Linked DNA regions of Elephas maximus indicus. The protein of the gene in region 1 interacts with the protein of each later gene in a biochemical or structural test. Links are inferred from orthologs where the notes say so. Each region holds a gene or a part of one and is shown on either strand. Other genes may lie near its edges.

What was found.
Region 2: the proteins of DRAP1 (region 1) and DR1 form a complex in vitro, tested with the Homo sapiens proteins (2 studies listed by BioGRID). The link is inferred for Elephas maximus indicus from reciprocal best matches to the Homo sapiens genes DRAP1 and DR1.

Annotation. Positions count from the first base shown.
Region 1 is NC_064825.1:129,055,290-129,066,776, forward strand, and holds DRAP1 (dr1-associated corepressor), read left to right. Parts: upstream 1-7,371; 5' UTR 7,372-7,494; coding exon 7,495-7,536; intron 7,537-7,771; coding exon 7,772-7,844; intron 7,845-7,934; coding exon 7,935-8,028; intron 8,029-8,347; coding exon 8,348-8,467; intron 8,468-8,580; coding exon 8,581-8,674; intron 8,675-8,925; coding exon 8,926-9,014; intron 9,015-9,367; coding exon 9,368-9,473; 3' UTR 9,474-9,610; downstream 9,611-11,487. Other genes in the region: C7H11orf68 (UPF0696 protein C11orf68 homolog), read right to left, coding at 5,497-6,256, 6,956-7,074. UniProt on the Homo sapiens protein: The association of the DR1/DRAP1 heterodimer with TBP results in a functional repression of both activated and basal transcription of class II genes.
Region 2 is NC_064821.1:148,819,673-148,830,655, reverse strand, and holds the start of DR1 (protein Dr1), read left to right. Parts: upstream 1-5,417; 5' UTR 5,418-6,143; coding exon 6,144-6,363; intron 6,364-10,983. UniProt on the Homo sapiens protein: The association of the DR1/DRAP1 heterodimer with TBP results in a functional repression of both activated and basal transcription of class II genes.

The DNA.
Region 1 (11,487 bases):
TTTCTTCTGGGAGCCTCAGTTTCCCTTCTTGCAGATCAGTGGTTTACCAGCTGTGCTCCCTAAAACCAAAAGTCTCGGTGAAGGTCCAATGGGTGCAGGGAGAGAGCTGACCATTGGGCCCTCTTCCCTGCTTCAACCAGCCCAGCTCTGGGAGGCAGTGGGGGTAAACAACATGAGGTCTGATGACAGAGGGCCTGGGTTTGAATCCCAGTCAGCCATTTCCTGGCTCTGCAACCTGAACAACTCCCTTCTCTAAGCCTCAGTTCCCTCATTTGTAAAAATAATGTGATAATAAATGTACCTGCCTCCCAGGTTGTTGGGTTGTAAATAAGTTAAGGTGTGGCTAGTGCCTAGCACAGGGCCCAGTACAGAATGGGATCAATATTTAGGGGATTCTGGCTATGGTGCTTTGACCCTTGGGGACCATTGCCTCTGAACCACTGGTGTCTGGGACTCTGTTCTGGGTGCCCAGGAAAGCTCTGCCCACTCAACCTGGCCCCTTCAGATCCTGCCTCCTGCAGAGCCAGGCCCAGGGCAGCTGGAGCCTGTCACTCCATTCTTGGGCTTCCCCCACTGTACCAGACTTGGGGCTTCCAGGCCCCACTCCCGAGGAACCGGAGTGCTACCCCCATGGGTGCCAGCCCTTACTCTGGGCCAGGAGGGGGATGAAACGTTCATCCTGGGATGAAAGGCTCCTGGCCCCGGGCTGGGCCAATAAACTGGCCCCACCCATGCTGGGAGGACCTCCAGGCACCGGTGTAAACTGAATCATGGGGGGCAAGGGGGTGAGTCATACAGAGTGAGTGGGAGCCAGACTGGGCAGAGGTTGCCCGCTTGGGGCCCATGGCCACGCCTCATGGAGCCACAACTCACTGCCCCCCTAAGCAGGCAGGTGAGGCACCCTGGGGGGGCAGGAGCCAGCTGGGGCGTGCACACACGTGTGTGTGTGTGTGTGTGTGTAGGTATGTGTGTGTGTGGTGTGTGTCTCTGTGTGTGTGTGTTGGGGAGGGGGTTGGCAGACAGGAAAGGGAGGCTCTGACTCCTGAGCAAAGGATTGAGGTTTGGAATGGAGCCAAAGCCCCAGAGGAAGATTTTGGCGGCAAGGCCTCACTGTCCTCTCCTGGTCTCTGAGGGTTTGGCAGATTTTTCCACAGAAGCCAGCTTTCTCTCCTTATCCCTGGGGGAGAGGAGCTGAAGCTGAGTGGGTGACCTGTTTGTCCTCTAGAGTCCCCAGGGGCAGAGTTGGGGCCCAAGGGTGGAAAATCCCCAGAAATCAATGCAAACCACTCCAGGGAGGTCTCTGATCCCAGGGTCCAGAGCTGCTCGGGGAGCAGGGACAAAGCTCCTTGTCGCGGGGGTGTGTACTAGCACTCATGGGTGATGTGGTGGCTGCCGGGTCATGGTTAGCCTTGACCTTCATCAAGTTATTTAACCTTTTCTGCCTCAGTTTCCTCATCAGTAAAATGGAGGTTGTAAGCACTGAAATGATAATGTATATAGAGTGCATAGGCCGTGCCTGGCACAGAGTAGGTCTGGGTACACATTTGCTCTTATTATTTAAGCCTCGGTTTCCTCATCTATAAAATGGGTGAGGGGAGGATGCCTGAGGTGCCCAGAGAGGGTTCCAGCTTCTGGTTTTTATTGCCTGGGAAGCTGCCCCCTAAGCCCTGCCCTTTGCCTTCCCCTCTGTCCCTCTGCTGAGACTGGGGGTCTTCCTCGCCCTGCCAGGAGGCCAGTGGCCAGGAAAACTGGGATTGGGGGATTGTGGGGCCGGTGTCTTCAGGTTGCCTCTCAGTGCCTGAGGGATGCGCGTCAGAGAAGTGGGGAGTTTCTTGCCATGATGAATCAGCCGTGTGATCCAAGCCTCATCCCTGCCAGGGCCCCTCCCAGCGAGCGGGAGCTGGGTGCAGCTGCCCTGCCGGGAAAATCCCTGAGAACCCCGCCAAAGCTCTGGCAGAAGCTTTCTCCCAACTCAGCTGTTTCCTGTCCTCTGGAGTCAGCCCTGAACGTGGCTGGAGTCAGGGGTTGTGCAGATATTCTCCCCCTCCCAGGCCAGCCACTCTGGCGACTACCCCCTGGGGTCTGGGGGTTCACAGTGTGTGTAAGAGGGAGGAGAAAGAGTGGGGAATCTCCTCATTTCTCTTGTCTCAGCCATTCCCCTGGCTTTTTAGAAGGGAGCAGTGCACAGGGGCTTGTCCAATTCACCCATGTGGGAGGGGGCTGGCCAACAGGGTAGAGCCCCCTGCCAGGCAGAGGAGGTGGGCTTCAGGGAGCCCTTGGGCCACCAGGGAAGCAGCCCCCACCGTAGGCCTGAGAGACCTTTCCTGCCCAGGTAGGCTTAATCCCTGCACTGTCCGGGCCTCAATTTCTTAATCAGCAAAATGGGAGTCTTCTGGGCCCAGCGTCTCTCCCACTGAGTCCTGAGGACGTTACCTCAGTGCTGTACAAACTGGATCCTAAGTCCTTGCTGGGGCTTATTTGTTCTCGCCACCTCACCCCAGCAGCACATCCATGTAGCGGGGGCTCGGTCATGCATCAGGTGCCCTTAAGTGCGATAGCCTGGGTTCAAATCTTGTCTCTTCCACTTACTAGCTTTGTAACCCTGAGCCAGCTACTAACCCTCTCTGGGCCTTAGTTTCTTCTGCCAAATGGCGACAACACCAGAGCCCAGTGAAGCTTAAATGAGATAAAGTAGGTAAACACTTAGCATAGTGCCTACCTTTTGTTATGATTTCCTAGAATGAGGAAACCGAGGCCCGGAAACAGGGTGACTTGCCTTCAACTGTTCAGTCAACCAATGTTTCTTGGCATCTGCGCTAGGCCAGATCCTGTGCCTGACACCGAGGACACCCTGGGAGGTAAAGTGTGGCCGCTGTCCTCAAGGCACCACAGGTACACAAATGAGAGCCAGAGGCAAAGGGACTGGGGGAGGTGCTTCTGCAGCTGGGGTGAGGGTGGGGCGAGGGTGGCCAGGAAAGAGAAACCTCTGGGAGGATGACACCTGAGGATCAGGCACGTGCAGGGCCATGGAGAGCAAGGGCACGTGTCCAGGCAGGGACGTGAGAAAGCCCGGAGTGTGTGTGAGAAAACCAGAGGCAGCTCATGTTTCTGGGACGAGAGGCTGAAGCAGGGAGTGGAAGCGAGACTAGGCTGAAAAGTCTTCAGGGGCCAGATTGGAGTCGTCGGCACACTTATTCATTTATGGAGAGGGTGCTCCAAGGACAGGGCTGAGATGTGGACACCATTCCTGCCCTCACAGACTGTGGGGCACATAGTCTGGGCACATGGCGTAGGGGCCAGCGGGGCGCTAGACATCAATCAGCAATCGCACAGTAACCACACGGTCATACCCAACATGGTGGTGCATGGCAGGTGCTCAAGCAGAAGGCACAGCCGGAGGCCCGGGGCTACGTGCCAGGGGCTGAAGGAAGTAGCAATTGGCGCCAGTGGGCTGAGCACAAGGCAGATGGGGTGCCCAAGGGAGGCTGGACAGTGGGTGGAGATCGTCCTGCAGGCTGTGGGGGCCATGGCCCCTCTACAGAGAGACCAATTGACAGAGCTGTGTATGTGGGTGGCAGTGAGGGGTTGGGGTACAGGAGGCAGTCTGGGCTAGAGGGAGAGGAGGGGATGAGCGTGCTAACTGCTCAGTGAACCAGGTCTTGTTGACGCCATATGGGCATCTTAACAGGACCCATGAGGGCCTGGCCAGGACCCCCAAGCCTTGGCCCTCTTTGGCCAAGGCACTGTGGGCCAGAGGGAGCAGGGCACCAGGCTCTAGCTCAGAGACCACCCGTTCTAGGGACTTCCCAAGGCTTGTACCCGGGAGTCGGGTGGGGAGGAAGCTGAACCAGGATCACTTGACTCATCCACTTCCACCCAGTCAGCCGAGTGGCATCTCCGCTTCCCTGCTCCAAATTCCAATTTGGTGAGGGTGCTGGAGGCTGACTCAGCTCCGGCACGGCACGAGAGCAGTGTCCCAAGGGGCTCCCTGCCAGATAACCTGGCCCCCGACCAAGGCCAGGGCCAGGCGAGGGTGGGGGCGGGGGGTTGGAGTCAGGCTCCAGAGGCTCCAGTAGCCTAGCACAAGAGCTCAGCAAGATCACGGGAGTGAAAGTGCTTTGTGGGTTGTGAACAGCTAACCGTGGGTGAGGTTTCCTCTTAGAGGCAGAGGAGGCAGGGGTGGGGTGCAAATTCTAGCTGTCTCTGCTCAACTCACCACATGATCCTGGGGAACTCCCTTTCCCCTCTGGGCCTCAGTGTTCCTGACCACAGAATGGGGCCAATACCTCTTTCAGAAAGACGTGAGAATTCAATGATGCATGTGGAAGTGCTCTGCAAACTGTCCAGTGGCCCCTCTGACAGGGCAGTGTGAGAGGTGAGTATAAATGGGAGACCTTCCAGGACCATCACTGAAGGTTGTGTAGGTTGTTCCCTGCACTAGTGTGTCCAGCCTAGGACACTGAAATGCAGCCCATTCTCCATTCACCAAACCATGAGGCCTGCCCAGGCTGCCTCTCCCAGCGGGCATCTTTCTTTAATATGCCCAAATACATTATGCTATACATATACAGGCACATATATCACACCTAAAAATGAGGCTAATAGTGGCCCCTTGGGCCTTTCTGGAAGGGCCAAGCCCTTGCATTTATAGGAAATCACTGATTCTGATTTTTGGGATGGGACAAGCAGGGCTGGCTTCACAGAGGTTCTGAGAGGAGCCGGGCCTTGGTGAGGCATGTCTTAGTACCGTGGGCAGACAGGAGGCCAGGCCTGGGGAGCAGTCCTCTCCTGGCTCTGCATCTCTTCAGCAGCCAAAGGAGGTAACCACCAATACAGCCTTAAAAAACACTCAAGACACAGACCCAAGCTGGGCTTTATTGAAATGCCAGGAGCAGGCACGTGACAAGATATGAGGAGGGGAGGAAGGTGGTGCAGGCTGTAAATCTCACGGAGGGGCAGGCCCGGTGACCTGGGCCCTGGTGTCCCCTCTCTCTGCCAGGGGCTGAGTGACACAACTACTTCTCTACCCCCAATGGCATGCTCAGGCCCGCAGGACCCCTGCCCTGTGGACTTAGAAGGCTCCAAGGGGAAAGACTGGAAGCACTGAGTTTTCTCCCTCGTGAAGGAGGAAGGGAAAGGGACAGTGCAGGAGGAGGCAAGGTGCAGCCTGGTGGGGTGACGGGGGTGGCCAAGGACGGCTCTCCCCCAGCATCTGGCCCCGGCCTGTGGTCCTGGGAGGTTGAGGGGAGCAGCAGCGAAGAGAGGCTGAGGGCCCGGCCCTCAGCAAGCCAGAGCCCCGCCACTTGTGGGGGCTGGCATTAGTCCTGATCAGAGGGCAGAGATTCAAGGGAATGAAAGATGCAGGCAGTTTCCAAAAGAGCTAACCCAGTCCTCAAAGCTGGGGCCTGGCCTCCTTGGGGTGACAAGGAGGAAGGTGGGAACATCCATACTGGCATGGATGGTCCATCCCAAGGTGGTCTTGTTTGCCTGGCCCCACTAGGTCAGTTCCACATTGTTGGCTCGATCAAGCACACGAGAGCCGCGGGCATCACCTCCCAACTGGAAACGGCTCTCGTAGAGAGTGGGGCAGAGGTGCCAGCGGTTGGCTCGGTAGATGCCCAGGTAGGTGTAGACATCAGGCTTGTAGGTGAGCAGGCACTTAATGCCTGCAGCCCGGATGGCTGTGTCTGCCTCCAGTACACCCAGGCGGTCCGTGAAGTCATCTGTGTAAACACAGATGACCTGGCGCCCACCCTCCTTGGCCCGTGGGCTCACCTTGGCCACCTGAAGCTGGCCTTCGACCACGGCTCGGGCAATGCCAGCCCAGGCATGGTCCAGCTTGAAGCCAGGTGTCAGGTGCATCAGCCACTTGCCTGAGAGCACCTGGTGAGTGATAGCCAGCTGGCGCAGGGTACTGGGTGTGATGGGCCGCCCGCTAGTCTGCAGAGCCTCCCAAGCTGCCTGCAGACCCTGTACATCACCAGAATTGGGGAGGTAGCCCTGCCCATACACTGCGATCCAGCCCACAGGCTCTGAGTTGGGTGAGCCAGGGTCCCCATAGCGGGTAACTTGGGATGGTGGGTATTTGGCCAACCAGGCATCCAGCTCAGTGGCGGGCGTACTGCGGGCATCAAACACCAGCCAGGGGTCCATGTCAGCTGCCATGGCCTCTGCAGCCAAGTGCTCAGCGGTAAAACCATCCTCCCGGCCGCCTGGAGAGTCCTCTTCCTCTGGCTCCTCACCGGACTCCATCCTGCTGTGAGGGAATTGAGTCAGGGCAGGTCTGGGACAATAACTACCGATAGCTGGGCCCTAACAGGTGCCAGGCACTGGCCTAAACTGTGTGGCCTTGGGCAAGACTTAATATCACTGTGCCTCAGTTACTTCATAACGGAGTAACAACCTTCCCTGTCTCACAGAGCTGCCGTGAGAATTAAATGCCTGAGGTGCAGTAAGCGCTACATAAGTGTTACTGCCATTGTCATTACTCTCATTGACCTAGAGACAAGAAGACTGACGTTCAGAGAGAAGGGAACTGCCCAAGGTCACACCTGTACTGAGTGGCAGAGAAAAATGTGAATCCAGGGGTGGAAGCTCCCGGCCCCATCACGCCTCCTGGCCCTATCAAAGCGCTCTTCGTCTGGTCTCAGCCCGGCAGGGATCCGGAGCTCTGGATTTAATGGAGGGAGGCACATTCACGCAGCACCCAAGGCGCGCCCTGTGGACCAGGCCTCCCGGTGGGCGTCGTCGTGCCCACTTAAAGACGAGGACACTGTGGCCCACGGAGGCAGTGACGGGACCGAGGCCGATGGGGCGGTGCCCGGACTCGAACCTTGGCTGGTTAGAGCCTGCCGGAGGGCCAGCCGCCGGCCCCGCCGCGCCCGCCGCCATTAGCACCCGCAGACCGACCAAGGCCCCCGCCCCAGCCCTACCCCTCCCGCGGCCCCACCGTCACCTCCGGCCGTCGCTGCGTTCGGCTCCGGCCCAGCCCCGGGCGCGGTTCCGTTCCTGCCGGGGCTCCGCGCCGCCACCACCGCGCCCCGCCCCCGCCACGGCCGCCGCCGCCGCCGCCATCTTAGCGCTCGCCGCTTCAACAACAACTTTATAGACAAGCGCAGCCACGGGGCGGGGCCGCCGGGCAGCTGGGCTGGGCGGGGCCGACAGGAAGGGGCGGGGCCATCGCGGGAACCAGAGGGGGCGGGCCGGCCGGGGGGCGGAGCTAACGTTCGATCTTCAGGCCTTGAGGGCCGGAGGGAGAGGCGGGCCGGACGGCCGGAGGAGACGCGCACCGCCCCGGAGGGTGAAGGGGAGGGCCCTGTGCGCTGCGAGCTTCGTCCTGAGCGGCGGCACTAGGACCCCGTGGGCAGCGGCGGGGGGCGGAGCAGGCGGCGCCAGGACCCGGGGGAAGCGCGACGGGCGGGCGGTGAGCAGGCCCGGGGGCCGGGAGGCTGCGGGCGGCGGCGCTGGGCCCGGCGCGTCGGGAGAGGCCCCAAGATGCCGAGCAAGAAGAAGAAGTACAACGCGCGGTTCCCGCCGGTGAGCACGTGGCCAGGCTGGGGTGGAGCAGGCCCGGCTCCCTGGAGGCCCGGCCCGAGCCCCGCTGGGGGGGGCGGGCACTTCGGGCGTCCGGGGGCCCGGACGCCCCGCCCCCTTCCCTTCCCCCTTCTGTGCCCCCCCCTCCCGCGCATTTCTCCCGGAATTCCCTCTCGTACCCCCAGTACCCTTTTTCATGAAGGAAGTGGTGGGGTCCGAACTCTGCCCCTCTCCCCAGGCGCGAATCAAGAAGATCATGCAGACTGACGAGGAGATTGGGAAGGTGGCGGCGGCTGTGCCTGTCATCATCTGTATCCTGCCGGGGGCTGGCCGGTTGGGGGGCGTGGGAGAGGGGGGCAGGTCGGGAATCCCCCTACCATCTTCTCCTTAACACCGCTCAGCCCGGGCGCTGGAGCTCTTCCTGGAGTCGCTGCTGAAGAAGGCCTGCCAGGTGACCCAGTCCCGCAATGCCAAGACTATGACCACGTCCCACCTGTGAGTGGCCCGCGGGGCTGGGAGGGGTCCTGGCCGAGAAGTTCACGAGTTCTCTCTCTTAAGGGGGCTGTACTCTACCTCCTAGGCGGGGGAGCTCTAAACAAGAGGGTGGTGGGAGACGGCTTGGAGACAGTGGGATTGGACCCGTGAAGCAAGGCCTGGGTGTTCCAGGCTGGGGAAATAACCTGAGCAGAGAGCACAGGTTTGGTGGTGGAGACGGGGAGGGAGCTCTTATAGTTCCCCCTTCCCTGACATCCTGGCCACTTCGCTGGGCCCTACCCGAGTACCCTGTCTGAGTGCTGTTTTCCCTCTCTTCCAGGAAGCAGTGCATTGAACTGGAGCAGCAGTTTGACTTTCTGAAGGACCTGGTGGCCTCCGTGCCTGACATGCAGGGGGACGGGGAAGACAACCACATGGATGGAGACAAGGGTGCCCGCAGGTGGGGGGCCAGGTGTCCAGGCAGGGAAGGCCAAGGCCACAGGGGTAGGTGGTGATTGGGGGTGCTTCAGGAGAGGGGAGACCCCTGGGCACATGGACTGTACTTTCCCAAAGGGGCCGGAAGCCAGGCACCAGCAGCCGGAAGAACGGTGGCATGGGCAGCAAAGGCAAGGACAAGAAGCTGTCAGGGACGGACTCAGAGCAGGAGGTGAGGAGGCCCAGCTCTGTCTGGCCCAGCTGTGATGGAGAGGGTGGCACCTGGAAGCCTCAGCATCAGGCTGAGCTGGCTGGAGGCTGGTACCCATCCTTACCAGAAACCATATTACACCTTAGTTTCTTTGTTTGTAAATTGGATCTGTTGGGATCTGTGTCCTGTCCCACCACTCCCAGAGCTCTGGGGTCCCCAGTGATAGGTCTAGACATCCCTTTTCTTGTTACTCTGACCCATTTCCGTTACAGGATGAGTCTGAGGACACGGACACAGAGGGGGAAGAGGAGACACCACAGCCCCCACCCCAGGCCAGCCATCCCCCTCCCCACTTTCAAAGGTAAGCAGCTTAGCCGAGCCAGGAGGACCAGCCCACTTGCCAAGGCCGGCCTGTCCTTCTTGTCCTCTACGGACACTGGTTCTGTGGATTGTAGCAGATTTGGGGGGAACTGGGAGGAACTGAGTTGTGCTCTCAGAAGGCCCCTTTTCCCCCCAGGTGGGGACAGTGGACAGAGCTTTGACAAAGCTCTTTGACCTTCGTTGGGCCTTTCTCTTCTCTGGGGCATGGCTTCCTGTGGGCACAAAGGGTAATGGGCTCCTTGCCTGCCTCTGTAGAGGGTGGGGTGGGGCTCCACAGGCAGGAATGGGCCCAGAGCGTGGTCTGATCAGCCTTTCTTGCTTTCTGCCTCACAGCCCCCCGACACCCTTCATGCCCTTCACCTCGACTGTGCTTCTGCCCCTAGCACCCCCGGGCCCATCAGGACCAGATGCAGAGGATGAAGAGGATTATGACTCCTAGCGCCCCCTGCCCCCCAGGCTACACCCCCTTTTAGTTGGTTTTAGTTGTTCTGGGGGGGGGGGAGAAAAGAAAGCTGTTCTTAAATTTATTAAAAAAATAAAAGGGAACATCGGTGTTTGTTCCAGTCTCTGTCTGGGGCTCTGTGGCCACTTTCCCATTCACCTGCCTTCCCCCCACTGAGCTGGGCCCAGGGGCAGTGGTGGGCTGGGCAGTGGCTGAGTGAAGGGAAGGGAGAGGTCCACTGGAGAGGCCAGAGTCTAAGGTTCTGCCTGGGGCAGGCCTAAAGATGTTGATGAAAGGAAGGCGGGTGGAGCGGCCTGGGGGCTGAGCCAGCAGGTGCTGGGTATGCTGGGGGGCACGGGGCAGGCTCCTGCCCTTTTCTTAGCAATCTCATCTCTTGCGTGGAGCCCACTCCACCCACCTTGGGCTGCTGGGGAGGGCTAGGCGGGATAAGTAATGGGAATGGGCTTTGAAGACCCACTTGCGCCTGGTGTGATAGAGGGTGTGGGAAGGAGCAGCGGCACGGTAGGCATCATCATGAAGGGCTTCGTGCCGGTTTTCGAGCTGGGCAGTGACACAGTTGGTCATTCAACAGGCATTTCTGACCAGGGAGGCTGTGATTATATCTGGTTTTAACAAGTCAATGACTTCCTTGTGGAGGCATCAAGGAGCAGGGAACCCTGCAGGAGGGTATCAAGGGCCATAGCAGCCTGGGTCAGGTGGGGCAGGGGTCCGAAGGGCAGTGGACAGACAGGGCCTCCGTGAAGACCACTGTCAATGGCCGGACATGGGGCCAAGAGGGAGGGAGTTATCAAGGACAACCCCCAGGTTTCTTTCTTTAGCAACTTCAGTGGGGGTGGGGTCTTTTTCCAGCTGGGGGCCACAGGAGGAAGAGGACGATGTGGCCTCGGGATCACAAGTGTGTCTGTGATTAATTGGAGTGCTTATGTATCTTAAGAGTCTCCCGAGGAACAGAACCAGTGAGCTATACATGTATGCATATATATGCACGTTGTTAGCTGTCATTGACTTGACTCTGACTCAGTGACCCCATGACAGTAAAACTGCCCCGTAGGGTTTTCTTGGTTATATTTTTTAAGAAACCAAATTGCCAGGTCTTTCTCCCACGGAGTCGCTGGGTGGGTTCAAACCACCAACCTTTCAGTTAGTAGCTGAGTGCTTAACCTTTTTCACCACCAGATCTTATTCTGTATATATACACGGCTTTACTTCAAGGATTTGGTGCACAGGATTGTGGTGGACTGACAAGTACAAAATTCGTGGGTCAGGTGAAAGGCTGGAGACTAATGCAGGCTTTAATCTCAAGATCTGTAGATCAGACGACAGAGGGCAGAGTGGAGAGTGCATTCTGCCCAAATACCTAAAATACTTACAGTCTAAAGTCGTTGCTGTTGCAAAGGATCTCTTTAAAGAGTTGAAAAGCAAAGATGTTACCTTGAAGACTAAGGTGCGCCTGACCCAAGCCATGGTATTTTCAATCGCATCATCTGCGTGCAAAAGCTAGACAATGAATAAAAAAAAAAAAAGGAAAACCGAAAAAGAATTGACGCCTTTGAATTGTGTTGGTGAAGAATGTTGTGTATACCATAGACTGCCCAAAGTAGGAACAAACCTATCTTGGAAGAACAACCAGAATGCTCTTCAGAAGCAAGGATGGCGAGACTGCATCTTACATACTTTGGCATGTTGTCAGAAGGAATCAGTCCCTGGAGAGGGCATCATGCTTAGTAAAGTAGAGGTCCGTGGAAAAGAGGAAGACCCTCAACGAGATGGATTGACACAGTGGCTGCAACAATGGACTTAAGTATCACGATTGTGATCATGGCACAGGACCGGGCAACGTTTCGTTGTGTTGTACATAGGGCCACTATGAGTCGGAACTGACCCAGTGGCACCTAACAACAACAACAACATAGTCTAAAGGCAGAACACACGCTGAGGAAACTCCCTTTTCAACTGATTGCATTAAACTAGATTATGGAAAATGATAACT
Region 2 (10,983 bases), on another chromosome or scaffold:
CATGATGTCCTTCTCCAGAGACTGATCCCTCCTGACAACATATCCAAGGTATGTAAGACGCAGTCTCGCCAACCTTGCTTCTAAGGAGCATTCTGGTTGTACTTCTTCTAAGACAGATTTGTTCATTCTTTTGGCAGTCAATGGTATATTCAATATTCTTCGCCAATACCACAATTCAAAGGCGTCAATTCTTCTTCGGTCTTCCTTATTCATTGTCCAGCTTTCACATGTATATGATGTTTTTGAAAATACCATGGCTTGGGGCAGGTGCACCTTAGTCTTCAAGGTGACATCTTTGCTCTTCAATGCTTTAAAGAGGTCCTTTGCAGCAGATTTACCCAATGCGATCTCTTTCTATATATATATATATGTATATATATATATATATAATATATATATATATTTATACCTTTACTGGTTTTGCTTCTCTAGAGAACCCAGCCTAAGGCAAATAGCCATTTTATAAATTCACTTATGAAACGCCACACATTTAAAGGGTGCCTCCATTTTATAGATTAAAAGACCGAGACTTAAAAAAAAATTAAGTAACCTATTCTTGCTCACGAAACAAGACTAAAATTGAAGAGCCATGATATGATTTAATCCCATGCAGATGGAGTCCATTGGTAGTGGAAACATTTAATTTGCTCAGCTGCTAGCTGAATAGCTGGAGGTTTGAGTCCACACAGAAGCGCCTCAAAAGAAAGGTCTGGAGATCTATTTCTTAAAAATCAGCCACTGAAAATCCTATGGAGCACAGTTTTACTCTGACACACATGTGGTTAACATAATTTGGAATCAACTCAATTGGCAACGGGTATGGAAGGCCCAGCACCGAACTCAATCTCCACATTGGCAGCGCTGGGGCAGCATAACATAGCTATGAAGAAGAGTTCCTTTGGAGCCAGACACCTTGGGTTTAAACCCTGGTTCTTTCACTTTAGTTACCTAGGCTCTTTGTGCTTGAGTTTTATCATCTGTAAAATAGGAACCATTTATTCACAAATATTTCTTGGTCCCCAGTCATTCTACCTCAGAGTCGTCCTCCAATCTGCTGCATTGCCTTTGTTTAATTTGACATGTTTGATGCTGCTCATCACCAAGGGCTTAGACCTCTCAAAAATGAAGGCTTAAATCACCCTACTAGGCAAGGAACCACAGCCAGCCAGATTGTAACCAAGGAAACCCGGCATAGGTAGTCATGTATACCAGCTATAGCCTCAGGAACCAGAATAGGAAAAAGTGGTCTGCACATTTTGCTGGAATGCCTGAAGACTGAAAAATTAGCCTTACCTTTCCCTTTTAAGGAACCCTGGTGGCATGGTGGTTAAGAGCTCAGCTGCTAACCAAGTTGTCAGCAGTTTGAATCCACTAGCCACATCTTGGAAACCCTGTGGGGCAGTTCTATTCTGTCCCATACGGTTGCTATGAGTCAGAATTAACTCGATGGCAACGAGGTTTTGTTTGTTTCCCTTTTAAAATGAGAACAATCACTGCTGTCCCCACTCCCAGTGAAATTATTTGTAGAGTGTGATGATAGTAATCATAATTTAGTCCATGGATTGAGGACCAGGAGGAGCCACACCTAAATGAGACTATGCCAGAACTAGAAGAGGAATGGATACTTGATATCCAGAGGTCAGGACTAGGAGAAAAGTAACATTAAGACATTCTTTCCACCAGTTGGATGCATCTTTAGGCTGGGTAAGGGTGCAGATGCAGAACTGTTGTACTGGGATGGCAGGGTCATGTTGGTTGGAGGCATTTTTATCATTGTACATAGGGGGAAAAGGGTATGTGGCTTCAGCAACCTAAGAATAGAACACAAGAAACACCTCTTAGGCCAGCTGCACAGTTCACAGTGACAACTCCCTTCCCATCAAAGGGATGGAACAACAGCAAACATCCACACACATAGTTTGCAGCCTGGTCATGCTGAATAACACAGGAGTGGAAATATGATCCAGGTTGGCCAAACACTTACTGCACTAGGAAACTGGAATTTTGATCAAAGAGGCAGAGAGATGGAAAGTTGTTTACATCCCATCAGGAAGACAGTTTATGGATTCCTACTACCGAGTTCTACAGAATTTCCCTGGTTGTTCAGTAATTTCTAAGTTTCTGTGAGATACCCCAGTATCCAGTAAAGTCAATTTAACTAGCAACCAAAATAATCTTAACTATTATACTTACCAGAATAGCTTTCTCTCATGCTACTTCTTCGTATGCTCCTTACCCTACATCCTCTACCAAAATATTGCGGCTCACCAAGAATACCACGATGTTCTGTCTCACTGAGCTTTTGCTGCTCTGCTGTATGAAATTCCCTCCTCCTTCTACTGACACCTCGAAATCTGTTTTTGCATCTGTCAGAACACCTAGTATGTAGGGCTGTATCAGAATTAAATGAAACAATGCCTATGAAAACTTCCCGTACAGTGTATCATTCATAACAGGCACTGATTTGTTTTGTTAGCTTTTTTTTTTAGCTGATTTACTTTTCCAGCATCATATCCCACTACACTAATTCATAAACCCCCCAAAAAGAGCCACTCTAGGCTACTTGATTTTCCCAAGCCATACAATGCACTTTGTGTTTCTTCTTTATTAAAATTCTACTTAGTCTTCATGACTCAGAGAAATGTTGGGCCCTCCATAAAGCCCTGTGTATATCACAATTGGTGTGTCAATCACTCCTTCCTCTGTACACACCATCTTCTGTCTTTATCACAGCATTTTATTTCCATCTGGTTTATATTCTGCCTCTCCCACCAGATTGTGGGCTCCTTGAAAACAAGAAGAGTGGTTTATTCAGATTTATTTCTCCCACATCATACTTAGGACAGTAGACTCTCAGTTGTTGAGTGAATGCAGGAATCAGATGCTGCTTGTCTTCTCTTTCCTCTGCCTACCCGACATCACTTCCTTAAATGCCTCAAACCCAGACATGTGCAAAAGTAAGCACATCTTCTTTAAACTGCTCCCTTTCAGTTTTGCTGTTTTTGTCAGTAACGCTATTCTAATCCCTTCTGCCTTATGTCTTTGGCGTTCTCCTTTCTCTCTCACTCCTGCAAGGAGGGTAGTCTTCTCACTGTTCCCAGAATAATTTGTCTTCACAACTTTGTGTTGTTACTTTGAATACAAATACTTTCTTCCTTTCTCTCCATCTTTCAAAAGCCTGTATTTCAAGCCTCTTTCTTCCCAACTGTTCCAATGGATCCCTGAGAGACTATGAAGGAAGCCCTCTTGATGACCCTTGATGAACCCAGAGCACGAGCAAGAAATAAAGCTTTTGAGGTGTGGGAGTTATTTATTCTTGCAACATAATCTAGCCTATCCTGGCTACTACACTGACCTTGGGTAAGTTATTTAGCCTTTCCAAACTTCAATTTCTTTATCTGTAAAATGGGGATTAAAACAGTATCTAACAAACATGGTTACTGTGAGGATCAAATGAGATAATACAGGTAAAAGCATTTAGCACAGTGCCGAGCATAAAAGAAGTAGAGGATAGATTTTAAGAAATTTGAATTGTTACCAAGTGGCAATTTGTATGTTAGCAACAGAAATGTCAAGCTTCAAATTATGAATGTTATGTATTATTGTTAGTAATTTTAGCTGAAGACCTGGGTATCTATAAATTAACATATTTTAAGATAATTACTATAGCAGTTAAGCCTAAATAATCATAAAAAAATAACTCACAGTACTATTGTTTTCTGTCATATCATGAATTTTTGGATACCATGAAAAAATGTCTGATATATGTACTTTAAGATTCATAAAGCTTATTAAGATGTTATCCTTGTTCCCAAAAGCCTATTTATAATACCAAAAAAACCAAATCCGTTGCCTTCCAGTGGATTCTGACTCATAGCAACCCTATAGGACAGAATAGAACTGCCCCATAGCATTTCCAAAGAGCAGCTGGTGGATTTGAACTGCTTACCTTTTGGTTAACAGCCCAGCTCTTAACCACTGTGCCTCCAGGGCTCCTATTTATAATAGGGCTATATTATACTATAAATAAATATTTAAATATGGAATCCAGGTTAGCATATTCATTACATATCACACTGCTATTTGTATTTAATTAAATTTTCTCTCTGAACTAACAGTAAACTGACTGACAAAACCACTTCATGAAGATGTTACACCTGAGCCAACAGTTCCACATTCCTATTTTGAAGAAAAATTTAAAATATTGTTTTATTAAGTAATTTTTTTGTCTGGACTAAACTTACTAGCACTGAAAATCAAGCGTCCACACTTTAGAAATCAAAGATCCCGGCACATGTCTTGGAGAAAATGTTGAATGAGAAAACACAGTGTAATAAACTGAAAAACACCTCCAGATGCCACACACCTAGGATGTGCTTTTAGACCAAAATAAAACCTTTTTAAAAAAACATTTTAAACAAGTCAGTTGCCTTCCAATGTATCTGATGAACTAAAGTGCCAAAACTGATTTAAATGGTATCTTTATTTTTTAGAAATCTCTACACCCAATAATTTATAATGTAGCCTCTTCTTCCAAACGACAGTATGACACAATTTTTTAAATAATGCAATTTTTGTGAAGAATTTGACACCAGTTTCTATTACGGGTCACCTTGGAGGGGCAAAAATCAGAGTTGTGTTAAGATGCTCTACAGTACTTTTTTTTTTCATCTCCAAAAGCAAACGTGCAATCCGACGTGAAAAATGGCTACGTTAAAATCTCGTAATGTGGCTCATTGTACGCTAGGCGTTTCCACTACGATGGATCTGACTTCTAGTTTCTCGCTTAGCCTCCAGTAGTGACTGGGCAAGTTATTTCTGAGTATCTCCTTTCCCATAAAAAACGAGAAAATGGGTGGAGGACCATAGTGAGCTGTGATCCAAATAACGTCCATTAGAAATCTTCAAAAGCTTTCTTTCCGGACGATGCAGACACCAGGCATACGGGGTTCTGCCTTCCCCACATCCTCAGCCCCGAGTCCAAGCTCGGGTAGTCTCCTCTTTCAAGACCAATTTGGTCTCCTTAAGGAAAAGCAGAGAGTTCTTTTTAAGGAAATCCGGGGCTCCTTTGTCCCCCAAAACGGCTGGGGGAGGGTTTCGAGGCCTCCGCTGGTGGTGGGAGAGTAGAGACGAAGGAACTGAACTCTTCTCTCACATCCACCCGCCCTACCCACCGTCTGCGGTCCCAGCCCTGGAGCAAGCGCGCTCCCAGGGTTCCCCGGTACCGTGAGGCGCGCGCTTGCTCGGCGACGGCCCCAGTGAAGGCGCGGGATGCTGGGCCGCACGCCGGACCCGGGACAGGCGGAAGCTACTGAGAGACCCCGTGCTTCCCGCCGGGGCGGGTGGGGGAAGGGTGGCAGCCACACCCGGAAGTCGGTCTGGTAGGGTGGGGGAAACTGGTTAGAGCCGAGGCTTCCGGTGGCGCAAAGGGTGTCGGGAGCTGCTCCCGGCAAACCTTCTTCTCAGGCTTCTGGAGGGGCCGCGGTTGGAGCCGCTGCGGCTTCTACGATCTGCGTTCGGGATAAACGGCCACGGGGCTGCCACTGCGGCTTTCCCTGTGCTTTACCCTGTTTGTATTCGTTCCCAGGCGGCCCCCGCAATTCCAGCAGCGGCCGAGGCCGACATGTTGTGAGGCGGTGGCACGGGTATCTGAAGGATGGTTTGGCCGAGGCGGCGGCAACGGCTCCTGGCGGGGGTGGCGGCGGCTCAGGCTCTGTAGAGCCGAGCTCGCTGGGTGTACGTCCGGTGCCTCGGGGAGGCCAGTGCCCCTGGATTTTGCCTCTGCTCCGGCGTCGTTGGGGTCCGGTTAGGCGACAGCTCCTGCCCCGCTGAGGAGACACGAAGGTGGTTGCCCAGCACCTCAAATTTCCGGATCACGCCAAGCTTACCCTTCCTCGGCCCGGCAGTGCTGTCCCCAGAACACTCAGCCCTTCGACTTTCCTACCAGCCTCGCCCTAAATCTCACACACTCGGGTGTTCCCCGCCTGGCCGAGCCAGCTCCTCCCCCCTTATTTTCTGCACCCTCTTCTCAGAGCGCCCCTCAGGGTCACTCTCCGAAGGGGGCCTTTTCAGAAATCTCCGTGGAGTAGTGGACCAGAACTGGGGAGTTTTTAAAAGTCGGGTGCGAGAGATAGGAATGTACGATGGCTTCCTCATCTGGCAACGATGATGATCTCACTATACCCAGAGCTGCTATCAATAAGATGATCAAAGAGACTCTTCCCAATGTCCGGGTGGCCAACGATGCCCGGGAGCTGGTGGTGAACTGCTGCACTGAATTCATTCACCTTATATCTTCTGAAGCCAATGAGATTTGCAACAAATCGGAAAAGAAGACCATCTCACCAGAGCATGTCATACAAGGTAAGTGGTACGTGTGGCGTTTGGATTAAAAGAGGGGCCGGGGGACAGTCTGCTAGTCGCGTGACCCGTTTGTGTCAAAACCTTCATTCCTCTTCCTTGGTAAGTACTGTTGAGTGAAGAAGCCACACGGGCAAGGAGGCAGCTTTTTCCTTAGGAAAATCCCGTTGTGTGTTCTTGTGGTACTTGGCATCCGGCCGATGCAACTAAGGATTGCAAGCATTTAGGTCACCTCACAGCCCCAAAAGATCAGTTCTTGGTAATGGTCTCGATTTACAGCCGAAGCAACAAGAATTGCCTGCCCTAAGTTGAACCCAGATAATGACATTTGAGAAAGGAAGCCAGAAGTTCTCCCTTGGAAAGTTAAAATTCAGACAGAGGAACTTCAAGCAGGAGTGGAAACAGCACCCGTTCTCCCGCTCCACCTATTCAGTAATGTAGAGGAAAGGGTCAATATTCTGAACACATGAATAAAAAAATTCTTAACAAGAATGTATTCAGCTTGGGAAAGGTTATTGGTGTTTAGTAAAGGCCACTTCTTTTTATTTTTCGTTTAAAATAGTTTGATGGTTGTTCATCAAGTTTCCAAGAGTTTCAGTTCTATTATGTAAGGAAAGAGTGAATGTTCCTGCTTTGTTGTGTGGAAATAAATTTGAATGCAACTAAAAGCTTGGATTGGAAGATTGTGAGCAGTTTTTTTCATGAAACATTTCCCTGTACTTTCCTGCTGTCATTCCCATTTAGATGTATACATTTCGTCTTTTACTGAATAGCACTTTTGGAAAATTTAAGTTTTTTTCCCCTCTCGTTTTGGAAAGCATTTAGTCCAGTAATAGGGATTTGGGGGACCATATTCTGATGGTTTCAGGGATGAGAGGCGTATTTACTAGTCATCATGCTTTGGGAAACACTTTTTGTGATTTTCACATGTACTGTTACCCAGAAAGTTGCATTCAAATTGAGGTGAAAACTTGCCTTAAAATCTTAACAGTCTCTTGATTGCTTTTGAAGTCAGGAAAAGAAAAGTTTTAAGTGGTTAATTTAATCATTTTGGTAAGCAGATGGTTGTCTGGCATTTCAGTTTTATAATTTAACTTTTTCAAAGGTGACTTCCTGTTCTACTGAAGCAGAGAACACATCTGCTCATATTCACCGTATCCAGTATTTTACTGTCAATATTGACAAAGGAACTAAAAGATTCATTTTTGATCCTTAACTGACCTGCTGAATGTAGATTTAAAGCATACTCTGCTATTTCAATACATAGGGATTCTTAAAGCTAGTATTTTAATTTTTTTTCTGCCTTTTTGGTGTGCTGAATGTTCTAGCAAGTAAAATGAAAGGCAAGGTGTCTATTTTTGTCTGTTTTTAATTTTACATTGTATGTGTGATTGCTATCATGTAGTCTTTCACAAGAGAATCCCACACAGATAGCTATAATTTCCTTTTACAACTCATTGAAGAGAAAAAAGGACCTTTTATCAACATTGCCTTTCTAATGAAAATTGCAGAAGATTTCAGTAGGATATGCTAAAACATTTGTTTACACCAGAGAAGTGGGGATCGTTCCCAAAATCTAATAACACATTACAACTGTCTTCTTGGGGAGAGTTTATTCTATTCTAGGATATATTTAGATTTCTGATTGACATGATGGAATAAAAGTGCAGCTGTAGCAAGCAGTGTGCTAAATAGTTCAACTTTGGAATATGCTAAATTCTGTGTAATGTATGAATCAGAAAGTTACAGTGAAAGCATTTTTCCTTGTGTACTGAGGGTCATTTATTAATTTTAAAGTATCATGTATTGACTGTTACAGTCTATAAATTTACCTTTTTTTTTTTTAAACTTGTATCATTGCTATTGTTGAGTGGATAAAGGCCCACATTTTTGCCCAAGAATTCTCCCTGGTTTGAGGAGTAGCTTTTAAACGTTTATAATTTCATTTGAACCTCATTTTGCCTAACTATTTTAAAGAATTTTTGTTTTGAGTGGTTAAAAATTTTTTAAGGAAATGTTTAGGGTGTGTATAGTTTAGGTGCTTAAGGTATAGTTTTACAGACTAACTTTGGAAAATTAGGTTGGGAAATCATGTAGATGGGACATTTTTTACACTTTTGTGTCAGCGCTGGTTTTTTAGGACTGTAGGATATATATATATAAAGTGCTATCGAGTCGATTCCGACTCATGGCAACCCTATGCAATGCGTAAGTAAAATAATAATGTAATTTTTAAAATGATATGATTCTAACATGTTGAAGCTTGAATTTTTAGTAATAAGTTTAATGAGCTAGACTTTGCATCAGTACATTTCACATGTTCACATGTCACCTTGTTGTACCTTGTCAAAGCAAATTAAGCATTCTGAGGCAATTCCGTAAAATGGAAGATAAAGTCAAAGCATGTTACTGCCAGTTTATCTATGAAATACTATAACTTAGTTCCCCCCCCCCCCAAATAGTTTACTTATTTTGAGTTTTAAGAAAGAAGATTTCAGATCCATGGACAGAGTTCTAAGTTTTAAAAAGTATTCCTTTTATCTCTTTGCTGTTTTCTGTGAACATTTATTTGTGAATGAGTTCTAACATGTCTCTTGCATTATGGGACAAAGTGACATGGAGAATCCTGGAGAATCCAGAGTTGCAAGCTGTACACTGGAAATTCTTTGGCCTTAGGCAAATCTGTTAGCTAAGGTTTTCCACTTCTGTGTAAATAATATTTAATGGTTTCAGGTGCACCTTGAAATTATTGAGAACCAGTTGGGTTAGAACCTTAAGTGAAATGTGCCACGATAAATTACAATTTTAAAAACTTGTAGTGGTACTGATAAGAATATAAAGCTGAAAGCCTGTTACATTACATTTAATCTTTACATCATGGTGCCATTTGTAAAACCAAAGTGAAAATGAGAATATTTTAGGTGGTATTATTTTCTTCCTGCATTTTTTAATCTCTTTCTACTTTTTTTTTTTTCACATTTATGAGAACAGTAACTGAAAGTAGTGAAAGCTTGAAAAGGTCTCTGAGAGTTGGCTTCCTCAGCAGTTAAGTTGCTCCAAGCTATCTATGATGGACTTTTTTTTTTTTTTTTAACCTGTAGTCCTTTGCACACTGATACTTTTGTAAAATACAATAAAAATGGATCTCTAGAAAAATGAAATGAAAAAAAAGACATAAAAGTTAAAATTTTTATTAGATCCAATGGACATAAATTACTCTGCTAAGTTGCTGTGAAAGTTTTTTTTTTTTTTTTTTAATATTTTATTGTGTTTTAGGTGAAAGTTTACAGAGCAAATTAGTTTCCCATTCAACAACTTATATCAGTGTGTTCCATGACATTGGTTTGCAGTCCCCACACTGTGTCAGCACTCTCCCCATTTCCGCCGTTGGTTCCCTATTTCCTCTTGTCTGGTTTTCCTACCCCTGCCTTTTCACCTTTACTTTTGGGCAAATGTTGCCCTTTTGGTCTCGGATAATTGTTTGTTCTACGGAGCATGTTCTTTTCAGGCGTTATTGTTTATTTTATAGGCCTGTCTGTTGCTTGGCTGGTAGGTGGTTTCCTGCATTGGCTGCAGTTACAAGTCAGAGGGGTGCCTTAGGGCCATAGTCTTGGGCGTGTTATGAAACTTCTTGAAGCTTTCTTTGAATTTCCTTACTTAACTCATACCTGACTTTTAAAGGCAATTCTGGCACAAGTCCATGGACCACACTTTGAGTAACTTTACTCTAAGGTTTAAACCACAGTCTGTTTTGAAAAGTGGGTATGAGATAGCTTTGGGATCATGGCATCTGAGTGATTGCAGAGAATTTACAATAATAATGAGAATGATATATTGCCTAAGTAATACACAGATTTTTTTCCCCAAAGAGACAATTTACAGCTTATCATAATCAGGTAGGATTTTATTATCATTCTTTCTAAAAGTGATATATCGTTTCCTTCTGCCATCCAGCAGTTTCATAGTTGGCACTGTACTAGATACTGCTAAGGATGTAAAGATGAATGATATCCTATTCCTACCCTGCCATCAGTCTCTCATTGTCCCAGATTCCCATGAGTAGTAATACTAAGGAAGATACGGGTCTTAAGGGTCTTCAGAAACCTTTGCCAGGGTGATGATTCAAAAAGCCATTAGTGTATTTTGGCTCTTAATGTATATTAAGTGGACTGCATCACTCCCCTTCCCTCCAACAAACAAAAAGAAATTGGAGAATGCTGACTTATATTTTTTAAAGGTATATCACATAATTATTTTTTTAATGGAAAGCTTGCTTTATGCATTTTGAAGGATAATATGAGTCACACAAATTCATGTTATAACAAAACTTTTCAGGAGTACATTACTTTTGTAAAATAAGATACGCCTGTGTTAATTTTTGCTGGGGAGAAGTTTTTACCCCTTTTTTTTTTTTAAGTAGCTGTCTTGTCTTTCAAACTGAAAAAATGTCCTAAGTATTTTTTTTCCCCCCCTAATATAGTATGGCCTCTTCTGAGTGTAGTTTTTAGATGGCAGAGAGTGGCGGATATGTCTCCAGAAAACAAGAGATGTATGTTTCTTTTACCCACAAAATAATTTTTTTTTCTATTTTTTCTTTTACTCTGTGATCCACAGAGCCAAGGC